Linked DNA regions of Astyanax mexicanus. The protein of the gene in region 1 purifies or fractionates together with the protein of each later gene. This does not show direct contact. Links are inferred from orthologs where the notes say so. Each region holds a gene or a part of one and is shown in the gene's direction. Other genes may lie near its edges.

What was found.
Region 2: the proteins of sos1 (region 1) and ptpn11a purify together in Homo sapiens (affinity purification with western blotting; 4 studies listed by BioGRID and IntAct, with this or other methods). This does not show direct contact. The link is inferred for Astyanax mexicanus from reciprocal best matches to the Homo sapiens genes SOS1 and PTPN11.
Region 3: the proteins of sos1 (region 1) and eps8a purify together in Homo sapiens (affinity purification with western blotting; 5 studies listed by BioGRID and IntAct, with this or other methods). This does not show direct contact. The link is inferred for Astyanax mexicanus from reciprocal best matches to the Homo sapiens genes SOS1 and EPS8.
Region 4: the proteins of sos1 (region 1) and shc1 purify together in Homo sapiens (affinity purification with western blotting; 14 studies listed by BioGRID and IntAct, with this or other methods). This does not show direct contact. The link is inferred for Astyanax mexicanus from reciprocal best matches to the Homo sapiens genes SOS1 and SHC1.

What each region holds. Positions count from the first base shown.
Region 1 is NC_064423.1:31,884,105-31,891,636, forward strand, and holds the start of sos1 (son of sevenless homolog 1), read left to right. Parts: upstream 1-4,523; 5' UTR 4,524-5,240; coding exon 5,241-5,327; intron 5,328-7,532. Other genes in the region: rfc4 (replication factor C subunit 4), read right to left, coding at 1,854-1,966.
Region 2 is NC_064427.1:889,907-897,222, forward strand, and holds the start of ptpn11a (tyrosine-protein phosphatase non-receptor type 11), read left to right. Parts: upstream 1-4,297; 5' UTR 4,298-4,549; coding exon 4,550-4,563; intron 4,564-7,316. Other genes in the region: tmed2 (transmembrane emp24 domain-containing protein 2), read right to left, coding at 1,220-1,240, 1,879-2,071, 2,932-3,117. UniProt on the Homo sapiens protein: Acts downstream of various receptor and cytoplasmic protein tyrosine kinases to participate in the signal transduction from the cell surface to the nucleus. Positively regulates MAPK signal transduction pathway. Dephosphorylates GAB1, ARHGAP35 and EGFR.
Region 3 is NC_064409.1:30,838,572-30,846,256, forward strand, and holds the start of eps8a (epidermal growth factor receptor kinase substrate 8a), read left to right. Parts: upstream 1-4,664; 5' UTR 4,665-4,908; intron 4,909-7,685. UniProt on the Homo sapiens protein: Signaling adapter that controls various cellular protrusions by regulating actin cytoskeleton dynamics and architecture. Depending on its association with other signal transducers, can regulate different processes.
Region 4 is NC_064413.1:2,311,905-2,318,879, reverse strand, and holds the start of shc1 (SHC-transforming protein 1), read left to right. Parts: upstream 1-3,969; 5' UTR 3,970-6,975. UniProt on the Homo sapiens protein: Signaling adapter that couples activated growth factor receptors to signaling pathways. Participates in a signaling cascade initiated by activated KIT and KITLG/SCF.

The sequences.
Region 1 (7,532 bases):
TAGAACAAACAAAATAGAGCCAGTGGTGCCATTTAAAAAAAACATCAAAAACTATAAGTACGTATGATTTTAATTCAATCACCCACTGCCAGCAACCCTGACTAACAATGTAATGAACTATAAAGAACCCTAAAACTTTTGAGTGTTTTATAACTTAATAACTCAAAAGTCTATAATGTGGCATACTGTGATGTAATTTTACCAAAAACAATACATATCTTCAACCCTGCTCTTGTACTTTTGCACAATTCAGCATAACAATCACAGATTCATTGTTAATAGTGGTATTGAAAGGCACCAGACATAAGACCAATTCTGTGGTTAACGTTATCACAATAACTGGATAAAATACATATCCTGAAGTAAGACACGTTTTTCTGACAGCCAAATTAAACTACCATTATACAACCAACACCACCTTACAACTCACACTACCACACAACATCAAAACAACCTATACGAAACTATTACTCCATAGTTATCAAAGAAACAGCTATAATGCAAAATCCAAAATGGTATATTTCAATACAAAATAATAATATGCATACTGTTGCAAATCAGTGCTACAAAAAAAAACACCCATCACTAATAATAGGAAAACATGAATTCCTCTCTAATATAAGTTGATTGAACACCATACCAATATTATGGCGTATGCCAGTGATCGGTGTATATAATTTACATTGCTTATTACCAACATACCACAACACAACATACAGCCTGTCACTGTTTTTCCCTTTTTGATTGCCAACTGTATTTTACATTATGCCCAGACCAATACAAATATGTCAGAAAGACAGGCAGTGCTTTTGCTGGACAGTGACATTATGCAGATTTTGCATTGTCTCCTATCCAGAATTGTTAAAATGGACATACTTTTAAATGAGAATCTAAAGATGTCATCCAGCAAGGCTGACAAATATCATACAGCTTAAAAAAAAACAAGATTTAAGCGTGTATTAGCTACTCATATATTGCAAACAATAGAATTTTAATGTTGTTTTATATTTAAGTGATTAAAAGTGTGATGAAATACTGCATGTCGGCATGGTTTGCCACCCCTTTTAAGTTAAGTTGTTGAATAGGCTGTTCTGACTGAATTTGAATTTACTCCAGAAGTGTAGGCCAGTCTTCTACAATGGATCACTTTAAGGCAGCTATAATACAGTGCATTATTAGTATCATGACATGTTGGATCATTTACTTCTGTTACAATCAGGTGGAAATCTCTAACAGGGGTTGGCATATCATATTACATGCAATTATATGAAAAATACATTTACTGCAATAGTATGATCAGTATATTCTTGAAAATATTTTATTAAATTTTTGTCATGTCGCCAAGAATATCGTTATTGCAAAATACCATAAAATATTGTGATATTATTTTAGTGCCTTATTGACCACCTCTAATGCCTTTAGTAGGGGTGGGTGATATGAGTCTAAAATAATATCACGATATTTCAGGGTATTTTTGCGAAAACGATATTCTTGGCGATATAGGAAAACAAAAAAAATTCATTCATTTCAGGAATATAGTATAATAGTATAACAGTATAATCATAATGTGGCAAAATAAATAATACAGCATAAAATAATATAATGCAGCAAATAATATTGCAGAATATTTTGTGCATGCATATAAATTGCAAACTAAAACAATTATACAATAAATACACCTAAAGCTTCACAGTGAATAATAGACTACTTTTAAGACAGAACAGCCCTATTATCACGATATTTACGATTTTTAATATCATGATATTTCTGTGTCACGATATATTGTATACGATATAATATTGACCACCTCTAATGCCTTTAGACAAAGAAAATACATATAGTCATTCACTTACTATTTTTCCACCCATGGCACCGGTTTCTGTCTCTTCTCTCCACTGCTCCCAGCTGTGGCCTTATCCCTCTGTGGTTTAACACTCTGTGTAGATCCTTTCAGAAAAGCCTGCATGTTTCCTACCCTGTAAAAGTAGCAGACACACACACACACTTGTATGATTGGTCATACAACACTGACAGATGTTTTAAAGTTTCAGCAGTAGTAATGCAGCTGTTACTGTACTGAGGCTCAGCTCTACAGGTTAGTATGCTAACAGCTAGGATAACTACTATACTAGCAGCAGCAGCAGAATCAACACAGCCCTGATTCTCTCACTCTTCAGTCTCTAACTCAGTTTATAAGAGAATATAAAGGCAGCACAGGCCTCAGGTTTATATAAAATATTAGTAAGCATGCACAACAACCAGAAGCGCGTCCACACAACCCAGTATTTACCTGCTTATAAAGGTTTATAAAGTGTTTACTCTCCGAACTGAAACACAAGCAGCGCCAGTTTCCCGCCAGGCGCGCACACGATGACAGCGTCACTACGTCACTCCGGCGCCGACGTGTTCACGCGCCCACTTTTTAATATTTATTATATTTAATATTTATTAAGATTTTTTTTAATATTATTAAGGAAACTAATGATACTATAGCAAATAAATATGGAAAAACAGAAACAAAAAGAAGAAAATAAAAACATTATAAATCGGTTGTTTATGGCTGCAAAGCTGCACTGTTTTTGTGTTTAATATAAAATTCATTTTATTTTTTAAATCAAATTATATATTTTTACATTAAGAATCAAAATATGTATTCAAATTTTAAGTATTGCATGCATACGGAAAAATCCACTTTTTTCATATTTTCAGCATACGTTAGTGATGCAAATGTAAACACTGATATAAAAAAAATATTTTATGGTCTTTCAAAAAATAAATTCTTTTTTTAGAGAACCTAATGTATTCCATATTCCCCCCAACATTAATACTGTCCTTAAAAATACTGTATAAAACGTCAAAATCTATGTATCGTATTACAAATTGTTGGTAAAAAAAATTACCAGTACATAATACTGTTATGTTCAGATGTACTGATATAATGATATAACTATAGTAATATAATTCTAATCATAATGTAAGTAATAATTATGATTGTTAATGATAGTAACAATAACAAGATAGTAAGAATAACTAAGCAAATAAAAAAAATCGTAAGAAATGAAGGTCATTCAATTTGACAAATTTCAGTAAAGTCGCACAGAAATCCCAATATAATTAGTAATGAATGATGGGCAGCATTTTAGACTTCAGAACGTTTTTAAAACATTATAATATTCATTGGACTTCAGACCCAGGCGCGTTATAATGATATTGACCCGCAGGTGACAGGAGAGCCCGGCACATCCCTCTACCTTCTACTGACAGCGGACTCGCTCTATTTCTCGGCAATTGACTTGTATAGTCTCTTATCCCTTCCTACTCGACCATCAATTGGTTGTGCCTGCGACCTCTTCAGCGTAGTGATCGCATTGGGTTTATTGGCTGAAGAGAGCGGCAAGAGGGAACTGATTCCTCTGTTTTTTGGGGGCATTCTGAAATCCTCAGTTTTTTTGACGCTTTATCTATCGATCTGAGCGAGAAACAGCGCGTTAAATAGCTCAGAAAGCTTTGTTATTGTCCCTCCAGCCCAGCGGAGAGAGAGAGTCTCTGTCCCCCACTGCGCATGATCCACATCTGCAGCCGAGTCACAACAACCGCCCAAAATAAAGCGAACGGCTCGCTTTAAACCTGTAAAAACTCCTCTTTACTAACTGCACCATCCTCCATACATCCTGCACTCTCTCCAGCGCCCGCCTGCGCTGTCACCAGCTCAATCTGCCGTCTCTGAACTAGAGCACCACGGCGAAATTAATGGTTAGCCACCCTCCCGTAGATCCGGTGTTCTGTCCATTTAGGTTACCTTGTCACGGCGAGCTACCTTAGTATTTATGTATAGGTAGACATGCCTTAATAAAACATTAGGGAAGATAATTCGATAGTCTGATATCATTAGCTTTTATCAAAAAATGCCCCCGGCAAAAGTGTAGGTATATGGGACACATTTGGCTTTATTGAATTAGGGCTGAAAGATATGATAAAACTATTTAAAGACAGTTTTAACAATACTCGATTTATACACAAATTATCATGACACGACATTTGAACGCAGTTAAAAGGCAGCACTGAGGATGTCTTTAATATGCTAAAAAAAGTATATTCCTTTGGACTAAAAAGCACATCTCTTTTATATATATATTATTTTTTATTGTAGTTTATTTTGCTTAGTAATAGTATTATTTCTTTTTAATCATTGTTGTTTTTATTATTATATTATTGACATAGTTTTGATACTTTTGTGTTTAGGGAAACGTTTTTTTTACTATTATTTATGCTGATTATATGTTTGTATTGACTAAATTCTGCAATAAAAAATATGAAGCATATTGTCAAAAAAAAAGTATAACCTACTGTTGATATGAAACCGTATCAGGATACAATACAAAATCAGAATACTGCCCACCTTTAATCTAAATCAAAATATATGTTTGGTTAAAAGTTAAATATAAGATAATGTATGTGTTATTCATTATAATTTTGTTTATATTAATCCACATTTATTAACATTTATTAAACAACAACTATATAGCGAGAAAATAGTAATAACAACAGTAGTTCGGCGCATGCGCAGTGCCCCAAAGCACCACATATCGGTGGGTAGCGCAACCCGACAGAACACCGGCTAGCTAAAATGGACGAATGTGTTCCGAGGAGCTGGAGCCGCTTTTGTCCTAAACTGTACCGAAAAGGGGAGAGTTAAACTCGGGCTTTTTTTCACTGTGGTGACACATTTCAGTTTTGAATCCGCATTAGTTAGCTGTTTGTAAGCGAATCCCTGTTTGGTTTAGCTTAGCTTAGCCTAGCTTAGCACAGCGAACCGTTTATTATTATTATTGTTAGCTTAGCCGAGCTAGCACCAGCCCGTTTCTACGGCGTCTGGGAGTGCAGGGAACCGATACAGGGGCAGCTCCAGCTGTTTGGCTGCGTGTTTCTTCGCTGGAGTTGCTGTTTTTAAAGCCTCGGGCTGCGGCTTGGGGCGTTTATAGAGCTGTTAAAGCCACTCAGGCACGTTTTCGTCTTGTTTTTGGTGACTCCAGACAGCTCAGCGCTTCGCCACAACGATGCGATGGTCGCATTAGGTCGCTGCTATTTCCACTCGGTCCGCTCGACCAGGCTCCTTCCCGGCCGCGGGCCTGTGTATGGCCCCGCGCCTGCCTTTCTGGTGTGACACACGGCTCACCGGCCAGGGCTTCAGCAGGACGGACCCGGACCCTGACCGGCGGCCCTGAAGCTCCACCGAAGTCATGCAAGGGACACAGTTCCAGTACGATTTCTTCAGCGAGGAGAACGCGCCTAAATGGAGGGGGCTGCTGGTACCGTCGCTGAACAAGGTGAGCTTTTGCACAGCTGGATTTCTGGACCATGTAACTAGTTATCTGTTGACTTTCTGTAGAGTAGCTAGGTTAACTAGCTAGATCAACGTGGTCAACGCAGACACAGCTTTGTAGGCTTTTTGCTAAGTGTTCTCCTAGACCACTGGTTCCCAAGCTTGGTCCTGGCTGGAGGACCCCCTGCCCCATGTTTCTGTGTTTACATTGCGCGTGTTGGGTTTACATGGGAGGAATGTGGGCTAGGTGGGTTCCAAGTCACAAAGCAGATTTAAAGGAATCAGTACATGACACATTACATACATAAACAATACATTAAACGTTAGCTTAATAACCAAAAACAACAGTGACGAGGGAAAATCCTTCAAATATGGAGGAAGAAACGTTGGGACTGAAAGACCCCCTGCCCCATGTTTTAGTGTTTACATTGCTCATGTTGGGTTTACATGGGTGGAATGTGGGCATAGACACTGTAGTCAAATGTATTTGTGTAGCACTTTTCACAGCTGACCTCGTCACGAAGCAGATTTACAGAAATCCAGTAATAAAAAAGACAAGAGATCATCAGTACATAAAATATTCACATAATACCCCATTGAGCAAGCCAAAGAAAACAGTAGCAAGGGCAAACTCCTTCAAATCTGGAAAAAGAAACTTCGGAGAAACTAAAGACTGGAAGACCCCCTGCCCCATGTTTCAGTTTTTACATTGCTCATGTTTTGTTTACTTGGGTGGAATGTGGGCTAGATGGGTTCCAAATGGGTACAGACACTGTAGTCGAGTGTATTTGTATAGCACTTTCTACAATTGGCATGGTCACAAAGGAGATTTTCAGGAATCAATGCACACCACATTACATACATAAACAATATGTAAAGCATTAATTTCAAGGATTCAGTGAGACTTAATTGTCATTCTCATCACATGTGGGACGTGAGATGGAACAAAATTGTATAAAATTGTATAACTTAATCGCATGACACAACAGTGAAATCTAGAGGAAGAAACCTTGGAAGGAGCTAAGACTGGAAGACCCCCTGCCCCATGTTTTAGGGTTTACATTGCTCATATTGGGTTTACATGGGTGGTATGTGGGCATAGGCACTGTAGTCACATGTATTTGTATGGTACTTTTCACAACTGACATTGTCACAAAGCAGATTTACAAGAATCCAGTAACAAATGGGACAATAGAGATAATCAATGCATTAAATATTAACATAATACCTCTTATTGGGCAAGTCAAAGAAAACAGTAGAAAGAGAATAGAAAAGTGGGAGGAGCTATGACTGGAAGACCACCTGCCCCATGTTTTAGTGTTTACGTTGCCAATGTTGGGTTTACATGGGAGGAATGGGGGCTAGGTGGTTTCCAAGTGGGCATAGACACTGTAGTCAAATTTATTTGAATAGCACACAGCTGACATTGTCACAAAGCACATTTACAGGAATCCAGTAATAAACAGGACAAGAGATCATCAATACATAAAATATTAAACTAATACCTCCATTGGGCAAGCCAAAGAAAACAATAGCAAGGGCAAACTCCTTCAAATGTCAAGGAAGAAACTTTGGGGGTAATTAGACACATCCTCATCCGTTTGCACTACTAAAGATTGTTGATTCAAAAAGGGTAACAGTATCACCCTATAAGTCTGATTATCTGTGTGTGCTAATATAATATAATCATAGTCGCTACAGAAGGTAACACAGACATAAGAGCACCCGAGAACACTGGTATTCCTCACCTGCATCATCCACAAACTTGATTTATTGTGTGCAAGTGGCAGAATGATTGCACCAGTGTCTCAGTTTCTCTGGACAGCTGTGAAACACACTTTCTGGACTTTTAGCTGCTGTTCACCTGTAGAGTAGATGTATGTCAACACAAACAAAGCTTAATAGACCTCTTACTTAGGTGTCTTCTAGATCAGATCAGCTCATTACCCCAGCAAAATGTCAATGTGGGTCTCACATGAGTGGATCAAGGGCTAGGTGGGTTCCAGTTGGGCTCCAGGTGAGCCTGAGCACTGAGTGGGTTTGTACATGAGTTGTTACTAGTACCCAGTTGGGCTTCTTGAAAAGACCCCATCCCACAATAGCCATTTTTATGGACAGTATATTGTTGCTGTACAATGAAAAACAAGTATCTCCAAAACAGCAACTTTACCGGAGAGAGAAAAAACATACTTCAATTTCAATGGAAGTC
Region 2 (7,316 bases), on another chromosome or scaffold:
TTGCATGGGGCACTGTGGTGCCCAGAGAAATTGAACAACACTTTTGTCCAATAAATGTCCCTCAGCTCTGGAGCACCTGTGTGTTAACCTGCATTTAGAATAATGGTTTGAAACGATTGTGTTGTATCCCATTCAGTGTGCACCCGCCTTCAATCAACACAACCCATAATTTTATCCCAAACACTGGCTGACCTTTTAAAACCAACCTTTACAGGCACATATATTTACATGCAGGAGGGCCGTTAATGATGTGTGAGGTGTGTTTTATGCACACATTCACTCCTTTGTGTTTATGGTAGAAACAACATGCACTCAACTCCTCCAGCCGACACACTCAATCAGATAAAATAGACACAGACCACGTTTACACAGCAGGTATTAAGGGTCCCAAAAACACACTGAATCTGATTTTCTCAATTCCAAATTGGGCCACTTTAATATGTGGTATTAAAATTCGACCAACATTTGTCCAATTTGTGATAATGTGACTTAAATCATCAAACTTTTCAGTTTCTGAATCAGTTTCTCTGATTTTGCTATTTATAGGTTTATGTTTGAGTAAAATGAACATTGTTGTTTTATTCTATAAACTACAGACAACATTTCTCCCAAATTCCAAATAAAAATATTCTCATTTAGAGCATTTATTTACAGAAAATGAGAAATGACTGAAATAACAAAAAAGATGCAGATCTTTCAGACCTCAAAGTTTTAAGAGTTCAGAAATAATCAATATTTGGTGGAATAATCCTGGTTTTTAATCACAGTTTTTTTTTCATGCATCTTGGCATCATGTTCTCTTCCACCAGTCTTACACACTGCTTTTGGATAACTTTATGCTGCTTTACTCCTGGTGTAAAAATTCAAGCAGTTCAGTTTGGTGGTTTGATGGCTTGTGATCATCCATCTTCCTCTTGAATATAAAGTTGGATATAAATCACATTAAAAAGATAAATAATCATCAGATTTGGTGAGAAAATCAGATTTGGGTCATTTTTCTACCTGCTACCCACACTTCTACACTGATCACATTTAATATTTAAAACCCTTTAAATTTCTTTAACCACCACACTGCCGTTAGTCCGTGCTGTTCTCACACGATGCACAGGCAGCCCTGATTTCAATTAACAGACACACACCAACCCCTGGCAACAGTTAGCGTTAAGCTAATCGTTACAGTATACGTTAAAATAAGCTTCATTATGCTGCCTACGCCTACCATCCCAGCTGTCACCACCGCCTGAGAAGGGAAGAAGTGAGAGTTACGGCACAGAAAATAACCTTAATTTACTAAATTACATAAAATACATAAAAAAATATATTTCTTTAATCATGACAGTAATAACATATGCTTTGTTTCTAAAGCACTTTTTAAGAGTTGAAAATAAAAATGTAAAAAAATAATAATAATAACGTAAAATAAATAAAATAACTAAAGTAATAACACAGTGAAACCTGTAAACAAACAGTGTGGTTGCACGTTTCAGTTTTTAAGAACAATGAAAACATTTTTAACTGTCCAATGGTTTAATATGGTTAGCGGCTAATGCTAATGCTGCTGCACCCAGCCTTAGTGCTGGAGAAACTTTACTGAAAACTCACCCTTAAACAAAATATTGGAATTCTTAGCTTACTGTAAATAAATTTACTCACCCAAATAAACAGCTTTCGGAAGAGAAACATGTTTGACTTTAAAACTAAATATATATATATTTTTTGTTTTTTTAAGAATCATAGTTTTGTTTACTTGCTCACTTCAATGTAAGCATCCTTACTAGTGTCTCTTAATGCGCCTTACAATCTGGTGGTCCCTATACTCCGAAAAATATGGTAATATCTAACCCAGCCTCACTGAACCCTCTCTAAAAACGAACCCACCTTCCGTCTCCATGTCTTGACCTTTGGGAGCTTCTCCGATGTCGATGGTGAACATGACGATTTTGGGGGTCATGGTGGACATCTTGTTACTGAAGCAGAACTTGTAGGTTCCGTCCATATGAGCCGCCACAGAGTACTTCCCACTGGACTCACGGTCTCCTTTATATATCTGCTTTCCATCAGGTCCAGTTATCTGGAGATGATTTTAGATTAATTATTTAGAGAGGTAAACATGCACAAGTTTTAGGGGTTAATTTTTCTTTTATGATATAAAATGTAGATATAATACAAACATCTAAAATTATAGTACACATTTTACAGCACACCTTTACTCTACCTCTTACACCTGCACTTGCCCTCCACCTTTCCTCACCTCCACCCTCCATCACCTCAGATTCACCTTCTCTCTTCCTCATCTCCACCTTCAACTTCTGCACATCCACCCTCCCTCGGTCATCTTTCAATTTCTCTCACCTCACTTAGCTCCACTTCTTTCACCCCTACCTGTTCTTACCTCCACTCTTTCTTACCTACAACCGTCTCTCGCTTACACCTACACCATACCTAAACAAGACCTCCCTCACCTTTGACTCCTACACCTCCACCTGCCCTCACCTTTAACTCCTCCACCCTCTCCCACCTCTACCTGCCAAAAAATACCTCCTTTACCATTAAGTCCTACACCTCCACCTGCCCTCATCTTTAACTCCTCCACCCTCTCCCACCTCTACCTGCCAAACAAGACCTCCTTCACCTTTAACTCCTACACCTCCACCTGCCCTCACCTTTAACTCCTACACCTCCACCTACCCTCACCTTTAACTCCTACACCTCCACCTGCCCTCACCTTTAACTCCTCCACCCTCTCCCACCTCTACCTGCCAAAAAAAACCTCCTTTACCATTAAGTCCTACACCTCCACCTGCCCTCACCTTTAACTCCTACACCTCCACCTGCCTAAACAAGACCTACCTTACCTTTGACTCCAACACCTCCTCCACCTCCCTCCCTTTACCTCCACCTGTTTCACCTTTACCTGCCCCCCTCTCTCACCTCCACGTCTATATCCAGGAATCCTCCCTCCGCCACCTCGAACATCAGGCCCATCTTGGTACCGGAGTTCACGCGCTCATAGAAACACTCCTCCGCGTGCGCGTCCACACTAACAAAGTACCCGGATGCCGAGGCGGCGAGCGCGGCCAGCAGCAGCAGCAGCGCGAGCTCCGGGCCCGGGGACATCCTCCAGCGGGGACCGGGAACCGGGAACAGGGGGAACTAGGACTGGGGAACTGGTTTAGCCGGGCTGGATCAGCACAGAGCTGCAGCCGGACTGCCACGTACAGCCTTCTGACCGAGAGCGGGGAGGGACAAACAGAGCGGCGTAGAAACGCGAAGCTAAAATAACACAGTTCGTCGGTCGGTAATACAAACCTAATTAATACCGATATCTGATATAAACTACAACAGCACATTCAGAGAAAAACTAAATGAATCTTAACTTTTAATAAAAAAAATAATAAAATGATTTTAATGTAATAATAAACATTTAATAAACACTCAATAAATTGTTTCCTCCAACGATTTAATAAATTGTTGACTTAGGTTAATGAATTATTCCTATAATTACTAATCATATATTTTTTCTCTCAGCTAATAAGTTGTTTCATTAGTTTAATAAATATTTTTCTTTATACTGTATAATAAACAATTATCTCATTTTAAAACGTAAGTCATTCCTTCAGTTTAATTAAGTGTTCCCCAATTTTATTAAATTGTTCCTTCAGTTTAATAACTTAATCCTGCAGACAAATTAATTTTTCTCTCATCTTAAAACTTTGTTCTGTGAATTTAAGGAATTATCCATCAGTTTATAAATAATTCCCTCAGAAATAATCCCTCAATATAATAAAGTATTGTCTTAATTTAATACATAAATAATTTCTTCAATTTAATATACCCTTAATAATATGTTTCCTAGGTTTAATGAACATTTTCTCAATTTAACCAGTTATTCCCATTATTTAATACATAATTCCCTTAATTGAAGTTAACAAGCTGTTTTCTTCGTTTAATTAAATGTTCCCTTAATTTAATAAATCAATCATACATTCATTAGTTTAAATTCTTTAGATATATGTTTTTCTACCTCGTTATTATTAGTATTATTTCTAATCTATCTCAGTGTTATATCTTAATGTTTTTTATTTTACAATTCGTGTATGTCTTATGAGTCTTATTTGTATTTAAAATATAGATGCAATACAAATAAATACCTTCATATTTTGCATGCTGTAATTAAGTGTGCTGCCTGCATTATCCCAAATTGCGTGCTAATCACTATCACTATGTAGTCAGTAGGGGAGGAGTGTGCGGTCTGTGATTTGGGACGGAGCCCCGCCGTGTGTTTGCACCGCTAGAGGCCGCCGCCGCTGAGCGCGGGCAGTCCAGCCGAGCCGCCGTGTCGCATGTTCGGTGACGTTCTCCAACTCGACTGGAAAGGTCTCCGATGCCGAGGCCTAGCGAGCTCTGTAGCCGCTCCTCTGATCCGGTTCCAGCAGATGAACACGGTGCCGAACCCGTCCTGAGCGGGCCCGGTTCTACACGGCGCGGTCGGCCCGGAGAGTGAAGTGACTGGAAGCGGAGCGGAGCGGCGGAACCGAGGCTGGGGAAGATGACATCCCGGAGGTGAGGCTGAGGAGAGGAAAAACAAACTAGTGTCAGATGTTTCTGAACCGGGGAGAGAGCTGGGAGTTCGGACAAGGGTTCTGAGGACGTGTTTGGATCAGAACCAAAGTCCAAAAATGGAAAAGTTTCAATTGGTGCGGAGAGGAAGCTGGGAAACCGCTTCAAACTTGGTTTGTGTGCTCGATTACTTAGTTTTAGCTGATCCAGGTCTGGAAAGTGAGAACCCGCTCCGGGATTTCGGTTCAGCTGCTTAGGCTGCTCTGCTGCAGCAAAGAGACTGATTTATTGAATTATGAGAATGAGTTATTAAATTATGGGAATTCTTTAATAAATTGTTGGTATGATTTAATAAATGATGAGAATGATGAGTGATTTATTAAATTATGGGAATTATTTATTCAATTATGGTAACGGTTCATTAAACTTGGGAAACATATTGTTAAGAGCTTATTAAATTGAAGAAATTATTTAACCATTTATTAAATTAAGTTGTTTATTAAATTCAGGGATTATTTCTTAAACGTAGGTGATTATTTCTTAAAATTACGGAACAATTTATCAAGACGAGAAAAAAATGTATTTGCCTGATGGATTCATTTATTATTTGAAAAAAACAATTTACGTTTTGAAAGAATGATTTGTTAAATAGAGGAAATTATTTATAAAACTGATGAAACAACTTGTTAGATGAGAGAAAAAATAGCTTTAAAAAAGAAATAATGATTATTTAATATTATTATTTTTTCAATAGAGTGAGGACTAATGGACTAATTTATTAAACTATGAGATTAATTCGTTAAACTAATTGGTCAATTATTTAAATTAAGGCAATAGTTTGTTAATTTGAGGAAACAATTGAGCTGCAGGCGAGCCGCCAAATCCCGGAGCGGATTCTCATTTTTCGGACCTGGATTAGGCACCGGACTGGATCCCTACTTTCTACAACTATTTAGTTAGCAGTGCAGTGCGCTAAAGCTAAACAGCTAATTGTAGCTAAGCGAAAAAGGCTAACTAAGCTAATGTTCAAAAATTAAACATTATATTTCATACACAATCTAAACAAACATTTAAACACAGAAAGCAGCCAATAAAGCAATGAAACACCGCGTTTTTGTCGTTTTTACCACAGCTTCTGTGCTCAGGGACACGTCACAGCTAGTGCTAACTACACAGCTAACAAGCTAACTAGCTAACTGGCTAACGACTGAACGCTATCACGTTTCTACGACTTTTTAAAGCTTTAAACATTTTCAAAACGTTGTTAAAACTTGCTCACTGCCTCCTATAATTGCGATATATCGCTAGCTAACGTTGTCAAAACGTTCTGAGAAGAAATGAGTTAGCTGAGAAGTTGGCTAGCTGCATTTCAATGTTGTGACAACGTTTTAGGCATCAAAACACTAGCGTTAGGTTGGCACGACGTTGCACACTTTCTTGCAGTTGTGTTGAAAGGTCGAGACAACGTTAAGTACTTTTCTACTCGTTTGATGCGATGTTTCAGACTCTGAACTGAAAAGGCTTCATTTTGTTGACTAACGTTAAAGTTTTCAGGCCTTTATAAAACTACCAACGTTCTTACGACGTTTAAAAAAAAGGTGGTGCTGTTTGTGTTGTCATTGAAAGTTAGGAAGATAACTGACGTTAACCTACTGACAAGTAGTTAGGTGCATATAAATGTTGTGACAACATTGTGTGCACCAAAACAAAAGATTGACACAACGTTGCACACTTTTTTGCTGTTGTGTTGAATGGTTGAGGCAACGTTGTAAACGTTGTTTCAGAAGCTTCAGGTTCAGGCCTTTTTAAAACTTTCTTACAACATTGTCAAAAGGTGGTGCTGATGTGTTGGTTGTCAGAAAGTTTGTCACAACGTTGTTATAAAGAGTACTAGATTGCTGTTAGAGAGACGGCTAATGTTGTCGGAACGTTCTGAAAAGAAATTAGCTGCATATCGTTGTTGTGACAATGTTTTGTGCACGTCTTTTTATGCAACTTTCCAACTTTGCTTCAATGTTTGTGGTCTCAAAAACAGTGTGGCAATGTTGTCTAAAGGTGGTGTTAAAAATGTTGTAGCAATGTTTTCTACTTTCCTACAACTTTGGTGGTGGTGTGGGAAGTTGGTGTTGTTTACATTGTCTCAGACAATATTCTCACAACATTGTCTACTTTTTTACAAGTTTGCTACAATGTTGTGAGCAGCTGGTGGTGTTTATGTTGTCTCAACCAACATCGTCACAACGTTGTGTACTGTCTTGCAATGTTGCTACATTACTGTAGTCCAAGAGAGGTGTTGTTTACATTGTAACATCAAAAATGTTGCCATAATGTTGCCAATTCTTGAATGTTGTAGATAATGTTGTTACAACTTTCAGAGGAATTGCATTTAAGCATTTCAGTGTTGAGAAAATGTTGTGTTGACACAACAAAGCCTACTTTCTTACAGTGGTGTGTGTGGGAAGATGATACTGTTTAACATGCAATGTTGTTAAAACCTTGTCTACTTTGCCATAACAATAGTTTGACACAACATTTGTATGACATTGTCCACGTGTCTTAATACTGTTTCTATTGCCTCAGACAATGTTGTCACAATGTTGCTTTTTTATAATGTTGTTACAACTTCGTCAAAAGGTGTCTGTTATCGCCGTCTTAAAAAATGTTGACACAACATTGTGTAATTTTTAAAAAATTTCAGTGCTGAAAAAAAAGTTGTGTTCACCAAAAAAAAATAGGTTGGCACAACATACTTATAA
Region 3 (7,685 bases), on another chromosome or scaffold:
GGGAACAGCGTGCTCCTCGACCAGGTCTGTGCTGATAAAGTTCCCCTCCGACCCGGAATCTACAAGCGCTGAGACACAGAACGCATCTGTTGGAGTGGTGATAATTACAGTTAAATTGAAACATTTAACTCTATGTTCGGTACATACCACGTTAGCGTGTGGAGTGGAAGAAGGGTGGTAACAGGGTTAACTACCGGGCTGGGAGTTTTGGGTAGATGAACCCCGGAGATGACCAATGGTCTCGGATTGCTGCTGCTGCTGGCTAGTTTGCTGGCGTACTAGCTCGTCAACGGCCTGGGTCACACCAGAGAGCGTTTGCTGGTGATGACCGAGAAGCCGGCCCTGGTTAGCCAAACCAGACTTAATAGACTCCGTATCCACAGTCTCTGTCATAATGGCTGTGTATCTTGTCAGGGCCAGACAAGAACCAGACTGGTGCGGATACGATAAAACAACTTAATTAAAAGTTATAGAGCATACAGGAGTAGTCAACGTAAACAGGGTCAGTACCAGTGAGGCGCAGCAGCAGCATATATATTTTTTAAAACAACCAGAGTGTTTTAAGTTTATACATTTATCTTTGAGGACAGATCTGAACACTCTTGATATTTTAATCTCAGTATCTTCAGGAGGAAGAGTCACCTGGAATAGTTTTCTCAGCTTCTTAAAGGAAGTAATTCCTGGAGGTGCTAAAGAATAGTTACTGCTTTTCCTCCAGCTCCAGCTCCTTGCAAATCATCATCTCAGTTGGGTTAAGGTTAGGGGATTGTGAAGGCAATGTACCTTTTTGTTTACTAGATAATTCCATATGCATCAATTAATAGTTTTCATGGTTTTAATATTAATCTACAATGTAGAAAATGAATTAAATAAAAAAAAGAAAGAAAAAACATTGAATGAGACGTGTACAAACTTTTGACTGGTACTTATATATTTGTAAGTTGACACACCCCAGAATTTGCTCAGATGAAGAAGCACCTGATTATGAAATATTATTAAATATTACCTGCACATTCACCGATACCCTTTACAGTACGTGTAGGTGGGATAAAATACACCACGGGCGTCCCCTCCACTAGACCTACAATAGCAGGAATTTTCCCAATAGCATGGAAAAACATAGTGTGGTGCTGTAATTCCTGAACTGGTGGGAATTGTGAATTGGTGCGTGTATTCCACAGTAACAGCCTGATTACAGAATCCACGGATTTGTAGATTTTGCAGCTTTGCTTAAACCTTGAGCATCATCTGCAGGAATTTATTGATTGCATTCCTTGCAGCAGTAATGTCAAGAACCATCGCTAATCTGGATTTTAATGATTTATTTGTGGGTTTGATTGGTCAATTCCAATATGGCCAGTTAGACTACAAACCACAGACAAAGTTGGCAATATAATATAATATAATATAATTGATTCAACCACGGAAATAATATTTTTTTCTCCCTCAAAATTGGTATTCCCTGATGTTTAAGGTGCTGAACTACGAGCAGAATGCCCTTTAAGAAGTTCTTTATGAGTTAACGAAGTTCTTAGCGTTGCGAAGGTTTCGGGAAACTCACCCCAGGACTGTTATCTTTATATTTATATTTCTGTGATACTTTGTAATTTTGTTATGAACATGATTCTATGGAAGGCATTCAAATTTCTATGCATCCTTTGCATCCTTTACTCACTTCTGTTAAAAAAATTGGCCTTCAGGAAACAGAAGTCAGATTCACTAGTCAGGCTGAGAGTTGACTTGAATTTACTCCTATGCAGGGCATTGACCACAATTATATCTGAACAATCTCTGAACCAGCTAAAGATTTGAGATATTCATATCCATAGTTTGCATATAGAGATTTAATGGTTGTATATAGTTTGTTTGTTGGTTACATGCAACTTGACAGTTAAATACAGGACTGTGTGTAACAATCTTCAGGCCTATAAAGAAGCCTTTCCTTGTTTTCTTTGTTCTGAGTTCTTTTTAGAATACAGGCAACCAAATATATAGTTATAGTTATAGTTATATAGTTTGTTTGTTGGTTACATGCCTTTCAAGGCAGAAATGTTAACCATTTGTCACTTTGTATATGTGTATAGTAGTTAATTGAGAATAAGGTAACTGTTTATTAACGTGTGCTTATAATCTTTAGATTATTTGCTTTACTGTACAAATGTATAAAAAACTAGATTGTACCAGTGCATATTTCATTACATCCACATGAAATTCCTACAATCCTTAACCAGATTTTCAATTAAAGTACAGTAGATGTCTTGATGATTTTTTTTGGTATTTTCATAACTTTCTCCTCTGTTTCAATATAAAAATGAGATTTATACTGTAGAAACCTGTAAAAAATTTAAATTTCTGTTAAGAATATCCCACGAAACATATTGAATATAATAAGTTTTATTTTGTTTTTCTAAATGACCAACTGTTTTTACAAAACATATTTGTATCCTCACTGATTCCTATTTCCATTTTTGAATATTATATTCTCAGCTTAGGTCTAGATACTCTTTTTTTTCACATAACAGAGTTGTTATATCAGTATAATTCTAACCATTTAATTTAATTGAAATCAATCACAATTAGAAAAACTTTAATTTACATAAGCAAAGTATATTTACGTCTAAGTTTGAAGACACCTGCAACATTTTTATTTCTGTACTTCATACATCAATGTTAGCCAGTATTATTAGCATTAAAAAATATGACTATGAACATGCCCACCCAATATGTACTTCTGCCCCCCAAAGCAAAGCAGTCTAGAACCGGGGCTGAGTGTGGATATATGAATAACTGAAATACCTAAAATACATTGAAAACCATGGATGGATGGAAGGGATGGGTAGAAAACAATGACAATACAGCAATGATAATAATAATAATAATAATAATAATACAAAGAAAAATATGTTATTTAACCATTTAAATGAGTTAACCAGGCAACCCCCCACCCGACATCAAAGAAAACTGTATAAAACGTACAAAAGCATTTTACATTAAGAAGTTTGTGCAATAAAAATGCACATTTAGAATCAATCTTAATGTAAAGTTACATAGTGTTTGTATGAGAGCCATTTGCTTATTGTAACTATTTTAAAATTAAACTTATTTTTTAAATACCTTTTAAAAAAACATACAGGGGTTGGACAATGAAACTGAAACATCTGCCATTTTAGGGTGGGAGGTTTCATGGCTAAATTGGCCAATCTTTTTTTAATTGCACATTGCACCAGGGTGTAAAAGTTCAATTAGCAGGGTAATAGCAGAGTTTTGCTTAAAATATTGCAATGCACAAAACATTATGGGTGACATACCAAAATTTAAGAGAGGACAAATTGTTGGTGCACGTCTTGCTGGCGCATCTGTGACCAAGATAGACCAAGTCTTTATGATGTATCAAAAGCCACGGTATCCAGGATAATGTCAGCAAACCACCAAGAGGGGCGAACCACATCCAACAGGATTAACTGTGGATGCAAGAGGAAGCTGTCTGAAAGGGATGTGACAGTCCGGATTGTATCCAAAAAACATAAAACCACGGCTTCCCAAATCACGGCAGAATTGAGTGTGCACCTCAACTCTCCTGTTTCCACCAGAACTGTCCGTCGGGACAATAAATTATTGTGGACCAGGTGTTTCAGTTTCATTGTCCAACCCCTGTATATTTTCAAGCCGAAGATGTTTACAAAACTCATTTGACATTTAAAAAAAAAAGCATGTTTAAAAGCAAGTCCACTAATTCCTTTGATTTTATCTCAAGAAAGTCTTTAATCTAAAGAAATGGTTGGCTGCTTGTTTAAATAATTTATATTTATGACAAAAAATACTCATTCCTGTTTCTTTCTATGTTTTGAGTAACAGGACTTAAAGTAACAGGAGTTGTTATCATAGAATTAGCTAAAACATATCTAAAAATAGATAAATGGTGGCTATGTTAATAGCATGAGGACATTGTAGTGATTTCCCAAAATGTATTTTAAAAATAAACAAATAAAATCTAAGAATTAATTTAGGTAACAGGACATAGTTACAATAAGATGAACTATACATAAAACAAATGAGGGAACTTAATTTTGGTCCTTTTGTTTTTTATTTAGATTTTCTATGATTTTATGCTCTTCAGAAGAACCTACTGATGTAACTTCCTGTTGTACATGTGACCTGTAGAATGTTCCAGATGTTTAGATGGGGTAATGTGTTACAGTAACAGGATTTAGTAAAACTTAATGTGTGTTATTGTTTTTAATGTGTATTGTATTATTTTTTAATGTGTGTGTATTTTAACTTAAATATTATGAATTTGTTATGCAAAATCTATTTTAAAGCATAGATGGGATTTGGAGTCACAACAATGCAAAAAAAATACATCTCTGAAGGATTTTATCATTTCATGCTAAAGTTTACAGTTAGAAAGGGGACATTATTTTTTTTAATTACATGTCTTATTTTTGCAGTTAGGTCAATATACAAGACAGTATGCTTGGTAATAAAAGTTATTTTAAAGTTATTTTATGTGCACATTTATACATGTAATTTCCTGGGGACAGACAAGGCGGAATGGCTGCCCTTTTCTTCTGTTCATGCTGTGGGTAATTTTGGGTTGTAGGGCTGGTGTCCGCCTCTAGAGGGCGCTAGAGTCTCGGTCTGTGGAGAGGTGAGGCGAAGAGCTCTGAAACCTAACGGAGAGGAGCTCATTCACGCCTCACCTCTCTCAGAGAGCGCCACGCTCTCATACACCGTCTTATTTTACTGAACACTCACTCACTCACACAGTAGAGAGGTTTATTCAGCTCCGACTTCAGGAGGAGAGGTGCAGACCCGGACTGACCACGGACTCCTCTATAACCATGAATTAGCGCCGTGTGGGTCACGATGCGAGGCTGAGAAGTTGGGGAACAGCTTGATGTCTTTGGAGTAAGTTAAGTGTTCGCGTTTTTAATCGCTCCTGAAGGGGAATGTGTTGATCACGGGTTCTTGTGTTCAGGCTCTGTGTATCTGTAGACAGATCTCTGTTACTGTGGAGCTGAGGAGGAGTGCTTTCCTCTAAATATTCTCTTTTTATTACTCAGAATCCCCAGCAGTCCTAGGTTTGGGTATTGTGTTGTAATTTGTTGTGTTTTATTCTTTACAGTGAGCTGGTCGTCGTGTGTGTGTCTGTGTGTGTCACACACCTGCCTAATGGTAACTAGCTATTCGGTTGCCATAGCAGAAGGAGACTCGCAAACCAGTGCCCGCTTCTCATTTCCCACCTGTTTTCTGACAAGTCCCGCCCTTCTTTCGTTGTGATTGGCTATGAGCAGTCCGCAATTACTCTGTGATTGGCTAGTAGTGCACTCTCACGAGCAAATGACCAATCCCAGCGCGTTGTCCGGGCTGCTCCTGAGAAAGGGTGGAAAACAAAGAGAAAAATAAATTTCTTCCTTTTTATTGGTCTTTATTTGGGCTCAGATTGTGAAACGGTGGATAATGTCCGTTTTTGCTTCATTATATGCTTATTTGGAAGAGATTGGCCACTGGATAAGTCCTGTTGTTGTAGGTGAAGTGTGGTGTTTTCTTGGGGTTGTTAGCTAGCTAAATCTCAGTCTGTCAGGTCCATATAGGCAGGAGGTCTTGTGAACATAACCTTGCTAATGCAGCTAGTCTTCCAGAGAAATAAAACATACCCTGTGCTGGTAAAGAGCAAGATAACGAACTAGCCACTCAGCGTAGAGTATGTGTTTTTTTCTGGTTGAGCAGCTAGCTGGTCTTGAGCTTGATTTTTTTTTTTGGCAGGGAAGTTTCTTTTCTTTAAGGTGAACAGTGGAGATAAACATGTCCTCTCAACAATAACCTACATACGCTGAATAAAATGCTAAAGTGACAGGACGTAGGTTAAATTTGGGGCATTTAGAGATATCTCTGCCCTGGCCAGCATGTATAGAATGTAGTTAAGTACATTCAAAACGTGCACTATGGTGCAGCTCTTGTATCAGTGCCATAAGCACCACTGCAGTTGCTCAAGTAACCAGTAAAGGCCTGTTGTGAACAGAAAATCCCGCAGGAAAAGAATTAATATATTTGGTTTTGCATTAGGGGTTTGCCATATTGTATGGTTCACAATAATATCGCCAACATTTTTAAATATTGTGAACGATATTATACCCTGAAATATCGAGTCTTATATCATCCACCCCTAATTATCACATCGGTCGACTACTTTGTTTTGCATTTTGTAGCAAAAGAAAAATGCACAGTTCTTATTTCACATTATATATCTACTTGACACAGATCATGTCTGTCCAGTATCATTTATTTTACTTTAGTCCTGGATATATGTAGATATTTGAAGTGCATTAATATTATCATGACATTCTAGATCATTTACTTCTGTTACAAATCTGATAAAATTCCTATTTTTTAATATTTTAGTCATAACATTTCATATTGTATGCAATATCATATCATATTGTATGGAATATTTTGTTGCACTAGTGTATTCTTAAAATATTTTTGTTTAATTCAGTGTTTTGTCATATTGCCAAGAGTATAATTATCGCATAAATACCATGAAATATTTGGAATACATTGGAAACGCAATGCAAGATGGGTAATGGGCTCACTTACACACTTACACTTAACTTGGTCTGTGTCTCCGAACATTCCCAAATATAACAGATTACATATTTACTCAGTAATTATCAGCAAATTCCTTGTTTAAACAAGATCTGGACATTTTAATGACTTTTAAATCCCATGTTTAGCTGTTTCTATCACTTTGCAAAAATAGTCGTTAACTAATCGGAAAAGTAGTGATCAGATTAGGTTGACTAATCAATAGTTGCAGTCATATTTAAATGTAGAACAGTGTCCTGGAAGAACTAGCTATATTTTGTTGTCCACTCAATTAAATTATAAGTTTAATTATATATATAGTTAAATATATAGTTAAATTTTAACTTTCAATTCAAAGTTTGACCTCTGACTTTTTTTTTTACCTTTTTTGTCTTTGGGTGACACTACAAGAAAACACTTGATATGATGCTCAAAAATTGTCTCTTGCTACCATTTAGTAATTTTCTCTATTTTTGCTAATAAGAAGACTAAAGTGTTTTGTGGATTCTGCAGTGAGATGTGCAGTTTGCAGTCTGTTGTTTTTAGAGGTATAAGAAGAATAGAACTCCTCTTCACATCTCTACTTTCTAGACAGTCAGTGTAGCATATTCAAAGTTGTTTAGATTCATACTTCTGCTTTAATATTTAAAGGTTTAAACGCATACTTCTCACTATACAGTTCATACATTCCATGAAGTAAAAACATGTTGAGTTCATGGTTTCTCTGTGGTGAGAACCTTCTCATTTACCTATCTGACTGTTCAGCCTACCACAGGTGATCACATACACACTGTTCATGTACGGTAAAAGAAATGGCTTGTTTAATTCTAAGAGTGAATGCATAGTTGCATAATGAATGTGTAAGGATGATCATTTTGAAATCCAAATACACACACACACTGTATGTAGACCAAAATACAAGAAAAACATAGAATGTTGGCTACTTAAGGATATACTCAATATTGTAAGCCTATGGGTTGCTTTGTTTGTACCTTAGCAATTTACATACTTAGCAATTCACAGCATATGTGCTTCTATGTAACCCACTTGTTTTTAGAACTGTGAGAAGAATATAACTTTGCTTCACATCTGTGCTGGAT
Region 4 (6,975 bases), on another chromosome or scaffold:
TCTGTGGGGAGCTGAGAATGTAGGTCGTGGTGGACTGCAATTTATCATAAAGTGTGGCTCTCAGCTCCTCTGAGTCACTTCCTGTTAGAGTTGGGTTAGTTGAGCCGTTGCGTACGCGCCGTGGCCTGAGCGCTATTAGATTACACCACAGTAAACATCAGCCTCCATGCCCAGACTAACACTCCTGCATGCACCACCGGGTGGAGGGCGAGTCGTCTGAAGCGTCGCCACATGGATGCATCCGTGCGTATCCTCAGTACCCCTCTCGTTTTTTATTCTTTCTGATCTTCTGCTTTTGTAGCTCCTCTGGTTTTCGGTCTGAACTCTTGTCTGACTGTGGTTTGACGGGATGGTCTTCTGCTTTGGTGTGGGTTCCTCTGATCTTGTTCAGATTTGGACAGAAACTTTGCTTGATACTTGTTCTTTCTTTCTTTCGTTTATTCTTTCATATCAGTTTTAAAACAAAAAAAAAACTTTTGTTTAAAGAATGTCATCAAAACGAAGGCTGAAGACTGAAGGCATTTTTCAACAAGAAAATGACGGACTGTTCTGCATTTTTATTTTTTATTTATTTATTTTTTTGTTCTGGGAGCTACAATTCATGCAGCAGAATTTTTATTCTTTTCAGTGGAAATCTATCCCAACTACATCCTTCATCAAGTCTCTCAACCATGGTTCACACATCTGGTAACTTTTTAAAAAGTGAATTCAGGCAGCTGAAGAATATAATTGTCATGTTTCTTGCATGAAACATCATTGATTGCACTGTTCCTCAGCTTCAGTGCTCCTTTAAAGGGTTTGTAAGTGAGTTGCACTTTTTTCACACCTGCCCTTTTACCTCGAATCTTTACTTTCAAACAGTTTGTGCAGATAGTAAAGTTTGTGAAAGGATAGTAAGCTAATACAGATTGTGAGAAGCCATGCTGAATGCTTTGTTTTTAGAAGAGCGTAAAAATGAACTTAAACTTGCCATTTGTGGAGTGTGTGGCTGAAGAAAGGAAACACTTAAATGTGATTTTATATTAATGAGTCATTTTTCTGTACGAGATATTTAGTCTTTTTTTTTTTTTTTTTGGCTTTTATGGCTGAATAATTTTGGTTGCCAAATAGTCAGTGCATCCATACATTGTGTCTTGAATGTTATCGTTTCTCTAAAGCTAATAAACGATAGTGTTTTTTTCTCTCTCTCTCTCTCCCTCTCTCTCTCTCTCTCTTTCTCTCTTTGTCTCTCTATCTGTCTTTCTGTCTCTTTCTCTTTTGGTATCTCTCTCTTTCTCTCTCTCTCTTTCTGTCTCCCTGTCTCTCTCATGGTCTCTCTCTCTCCGTCTTTTTTTTTCTCTGTCTCTCTTTCTCTTTGTGTCTCTTTTTTCTCTTCTCTGTTCAGTTCAGTTCAGCATTGCTTTATTGGCATGAATGTAACAATCAACACTATTGCCAAAGCATAAAACAGAAAAACAAACAAACAAAAACATAATTAATAATAATGAATTAAAATAAAGATTACATACATACAATTACAACAACAGAACTTATTATTATTTACTCTGTCTCTCTCTTTCTCTCATTCTCTCTCTTTCTTTCTCTCTCTCTGTCTCTTTTGTCGCTATGTCTCTTTCTCTGTTTTTCTCTCTTTCTCTGTTTGTCCCTTTCTCTTTTTTTTCTCTCTCTTTCCCTGTCTCTCTCTCTCTCTCTCTTGCTGCAGACGGTGATACAGCTGCGTTTAGTCTCTCAGTTTTTTCTCTTTTTTTCTCTCGGCGCTCCTGACTGACGTTTCAGCGCTCCTCAGTGACCGGGTAACACACTCGAATGAAACCTGACATGATGTCCCTGTTCCCCCAGCCGGCAGTCATGTGCACGTTCCCCCATCCTCCCTGGAAAAAAACTACTCTCCCCTAGTGCACTCTGGGAATTGTAGTTTGCAGCAGCTTTGTTGTCACTGCTTCCGATATTCAGGTCACTTATCTGAGCGGACTGCCGCCGGCGTCTGGAGAATCTAACGGCCGGCGCGTGCAGCCGTTATCATCCCAGCGCCGCCTGCCTGTTCCTGTAGGAGCTCCACGACGGTGTGGGGGAACATATCCACCGTTTAACCTTGGAATTGTTTCCTTGGAATTGTTCTGTCTGTGTGCCGGAAGAGGAGGTCACAGCAGGTTAGAGGAAAGAAACAGAAAGAAGGAAATGCAAAAATTAGAGGAAGGAAAGAGGAATTAACTCATCCCATACAAGCCTTCCTCTGTCCCTACAGCTCTTTGGTTACCAGTGGAGGGTGGTTCACCTGCTTCCCCAGCATCCGTCAGTTCAGTCCTTCCATTCAGTCATCAGCGGCAGCATCCGTCTACTTTCAGTTTTTACAAAAAACACTCTTTTTTCCAATTCAGTAAAATAAAGAGTGGTTCAAAATATCCAGTGACGCATTAAACATTTCCCCTTATCTAAACCCACAACTCAAATACGCAACTGAAATAACTACCAGGAGTGGGAATCGTAGGGTATCTCACGATACATTAAATTAGCAAATACTCACAGTAACTATAAATTTATTGGCCCCAATATCACATAACCAATATTGACAACCAATATAAAACAAAGTACATAGCTAAGCTTGCTCGTGTCCCTTTAACACACATACAGTAACTGCAACTCCTCCAAGTGTGTCTCTTATTATTCTAATGTTAATGTTATTATTCTAATTCCAATGTGTGTGTGTATATATATATATATATATATAATAGATGAATTTTCATGAATAAAAAAAACATTGAGTTTTTGTACATTTCCCTCTCAGTCCAATTTTCACAAAAATTACTCAAATAAAATGCAAACTGTCTTTTGATCACAACATGGGTCAGATCCAAAGTAATATATATACATTCTATCAATATTTACATCTCATTTGAAGATATTTTAAAAGAGTTACATCTGTTACATCTGCCATTTGCGAATTTCTCCTATATATGGTTTGTAGTTTTATATAAAAATGTACTGCAAAATCTAAAAAAGTCTAAGGCTCTAAAATTTAAGATGTGAAAATGCAGTAAAACATGCACTGAATCTAGAGCCTCATCAATAGAAAGCACAAATGGAGAGCAAGATAATAATCGTGATTAATCAACTTACTGAAAGTTGATTAGTCTAAAATTCGACTAATAAAATAGTTATTTGCATCCCTAAAGCTAATGCTAATTTCCATGTTTTATTCCATGTTTATTAATGTTACGCAATATCAGAAATTAGCATCAACCCACAATATATCACACATCAGTGCATCCCCAGCTAACGTACTGTTAATGTACATGCTAGGTACAGCAGGGTACTCTTTTATAATTTGATAGAAACAGCTGTGCTATTAACTCATTTTTACCTTTAGCAATTAATAGTTGATGCATAATTCTCCTGCATAGTTCAGCCCCAACATAAATGCGTAAATGCATGAATGACTGATGCCTGCGAGGAGACAGCCAGCCAGCGAGGGAGGGAGCGAGGGAGGGGGAGCAGCAGAGGCAGGGAGGTGGAAACAGGAATCAGCAGCACCATCAACGTCTGAACGTGCACAGGGAGAGAGAGAGAGAGAGAGGGAGCGAGGGAAAAAGAGAAAGAGAGAGAGAGGGCGCTAGACAAGGAGGCGAAGAGAGCAGAGGACAGTTGGCTGCAGCGCTCACTCCCCAAATGCAGACGGAGGTGGGAAAAAGAGGAGGATGAGAGAGAGCGCGGGGGACGGAGAAGAGAACAAAGGCAGATCGCCCGGCCGATCCTTCGTTCCAGTCTTCAGGAGAGGAGAGAGGGAAGGACGGGATCCGCGTGCGGACGAGAGAGGAAGCAGAGCCCGGCTATGACTTTGTAATTTATTTATTTATTTTCCGGTAACGAGAGGAAGCAAGTCAATGAATGAAAGCAAGACCACGTTGTTCCTCTCTGAGGGAGGAGACTGACTGAGCGAACGAGAGAACAAGGGAAAGGTAGATGAAGAGAGATAGAGAGAGAAAGATGGAGCAAGACGACAAATATGACCACTGACAAAAAACTGCACCATTGAAGGATAGGAACATGAACGTGGACGATATTTGTTCCCGACACGTTGCTGAAGATAATCATGCAAGCTTTTTATATTTGATTCTTTTTGATTGACAGACTGAAAGATTGAACCTTTCGCAGCAGGAGCGAAAATCCAGATGTCAAAAATTGTTTACTTTAGATTACATTTTCTTTTCTGTAGTGTATGTGTGAGTGTGTGAGTGTGAGAGTGTGAGAGTGTGTATGCATAGCCTACTGGTTACTTAAACACTCAATCGTATATATGCAGTCAATAATCAGGTTCCTTGTATGCAAAACTTTGTGCGTTAAGTTAATGAACTCGATTGGCAAAGAGACTTTCTCTTTTCTCTTTGGAAACTCCAGTAGGTCGAGTGCTCTTGGCAGGCAGTCCTTTTTGTAAATGTTCTGTTTTTTGTCCGGAAGCGTAGCCTTGAGCAATACTTGATTTCCTCCGGACTGGTGCGCTGGCTGACGGTGCTTTGTGTAAGAGCCAGCCTTGGACAGCGATGCTATCTGATGCACTCTGCGTGGAGATGTCAGCATTGATTAGCTTTATGGCCGTGGAGACGACAGCCAAACTTTGCTGTCTCATGGCAGCGTGTTCATCAGACTATTGATCCCCCGCAGGACTCCCGCCGAGCCTTCTTTATTCTGCAGCCGGAGTCAGAGTCCCTCTCCAAAGTCTGCTTCGATTGGCCAACAGTAAAGAGAGAGAGAGGACAGGTTTTGTGTTGGTGGGCTCGCCTTTTGTTTGGGTTTCCGTCAAAGATTTTGTCTGGCAGGATTCTGCTCTCCAGTCTATTGCCATGGCAACAACCTGGCTACCGCGAAGTTCTTCTTCTTTGTTTCGTATCTTGCCGTGAAGCGAACTTTCGAGGTCGCTCAAGCTCGCGCGACTTGGGTAAGATCTGTTCCTTCGAGCAAGCTAAGCCAGGATTCTTGGTGCTCTTTTTCTTCTATTTCTCTCTTCTCTTGTCTCACTCTTGTCTAATGTTTGTGTGTACTTTTTCAGTACAATCTGTACAGTTTGCTAGATCATGTTGCATCACTGGCAATGACTAAAGGACTAAATCGACAAGTCATCATTCAATCATTCAGGATTTACACTGGTTTACTTTCTCATAAACTAATCTAAGCGTCTAATCTTGTTTCGTCACAGAAAGTAAAAAGTAGTGCACTACTTTGTCTCATATTGTCGCATTCAGGTTCTTTGACATGTACGTGTGAAAAAAAAAATATATATATATTGTGTATTACCGTTTGCGTGTACATGTACATGTAAAGTTGTGTGTTTTGTGTGTTTGAGTAAAATTGTGTGGTAGTAACTCAGGTTTTGCCTCCACCAAGGGATGGCCAGCCATACTGTGCAATTTTTCATCTGCACTAATTCCTTAAGACTAACTAAAACCTGGCTGATGATTAACCGATTAATCAATTAACCAACTAACATCACCTGAAGCGGACCTGTAAGCCGTAATCGTGAGTGTCCTGCAGAAGTTTCCGTCCTCGTCTTTTACGTCTTTCGTGTAATTCTGGAAAAGTTTTTCACTTGCATACTTTCTACAGACACTTGTTACCTCTTATTTTCCAGCGTCCTACACTGGGATTGACAGTACATCGTGTCTACAGTCAAATGGCAGCGGCTCATTCGTTCAATCCTGGAACAGACTGTCCTATTCCAACAGGGATTCTGCCATACTCTTGACGAACAGGTGCTACATCTGAGCTGCCTTGGTTTGACTCCATCCGAGGCTCGGTTCGCTGTACTGTTACTAAATAAATGTTCTTTGTAAAGTTCTCGTTGGGTTTTCTACTCCCTTTGCACTGTTTCTTCCCGAACACTGTGCTCCACGTGTGCCATGAAGCGTTGGTCACAACACCGAGAGCTTGTTTGTTGCAAACGTTGGATTGCAAACAAACATTTGAATGCAGTTTGATTGCAAATGCACCTGTCCTTTTTTTCCTGAGTGGATAGTGTGGATGGTGTACGTGCAAGTGCGGTACAGCTCGCACAGTAGAACTACGCCAGTGATTCATACTCTGTGCCATGTCCTTGTAACCACTGGTGCATTTGACCTATTGCACTTACCGGACCTCTTTGGAGCTGCACTGAAAAGACACTACTACTTATATCGCAGCTGTTAAACTTTTACACTTTAACATAGCAGCGTTGGGAAACCTTTGTCTTGGAGCAAAGCTCCCAGCAAGGATCTTATTAGAGTAAGTAAGTAAGGAGTCCTGCAGTGGCCGTGATTGCCAATCTGACTGCTCGTCACGTCTTTTAGGACTTTGCTAATGGGTTTTGCTCTACCCGACTATAGCAATTGGTGCTGTTTAGAACAATCTGATTAACATCTCGTCAGTTTATCTGATGATTAAAGCAGCTGCTCACACGTCTACGCTGACGGAAGACAAATATGCAGCGGAAGCCTCTGAGGATGAGAGCCTAATGAGCGAGGCTAGACTACTGCCAGCAGTAGCTCGGGCTGAGAAGTGTGCATACTGTTAGAACAGAAAGTGCTTTGGAGATTAAGGTAACAGATGTAGTGGGATTAGATTGCGATGAATTCTTGTGCTAAGACTGTTCTGCTCGAGTCCGTTCCAGACTGTTTAGAAGCGTCAGCTTTTAAAGACTGTCGCTTTTCTGGCTTGAAGCTTTGTTAGGACTCGAGGACTCAAGGACTTGAGGACCCGGCTAGGTCAAGCTGCTTTCAGGGTAGCTTTTCTCTCAGGAAACAGATTTCATATGATGGTACTATTCCGCAGCTCCTAGGTGTCACTTAAGGTAATGAGGGAGTGATTGATTTTCCAGTCAGCCTCTAATGAGCCCCTCTTCTCCGAGATCTCTGAGGGCGGAACGTCAGACAGAGCCAATCAGGTCTCATTATCATTAGGCTGACAAGCTGGTGTTTGTCATTCTCGGGGGAACTCCGCCTTTATAGG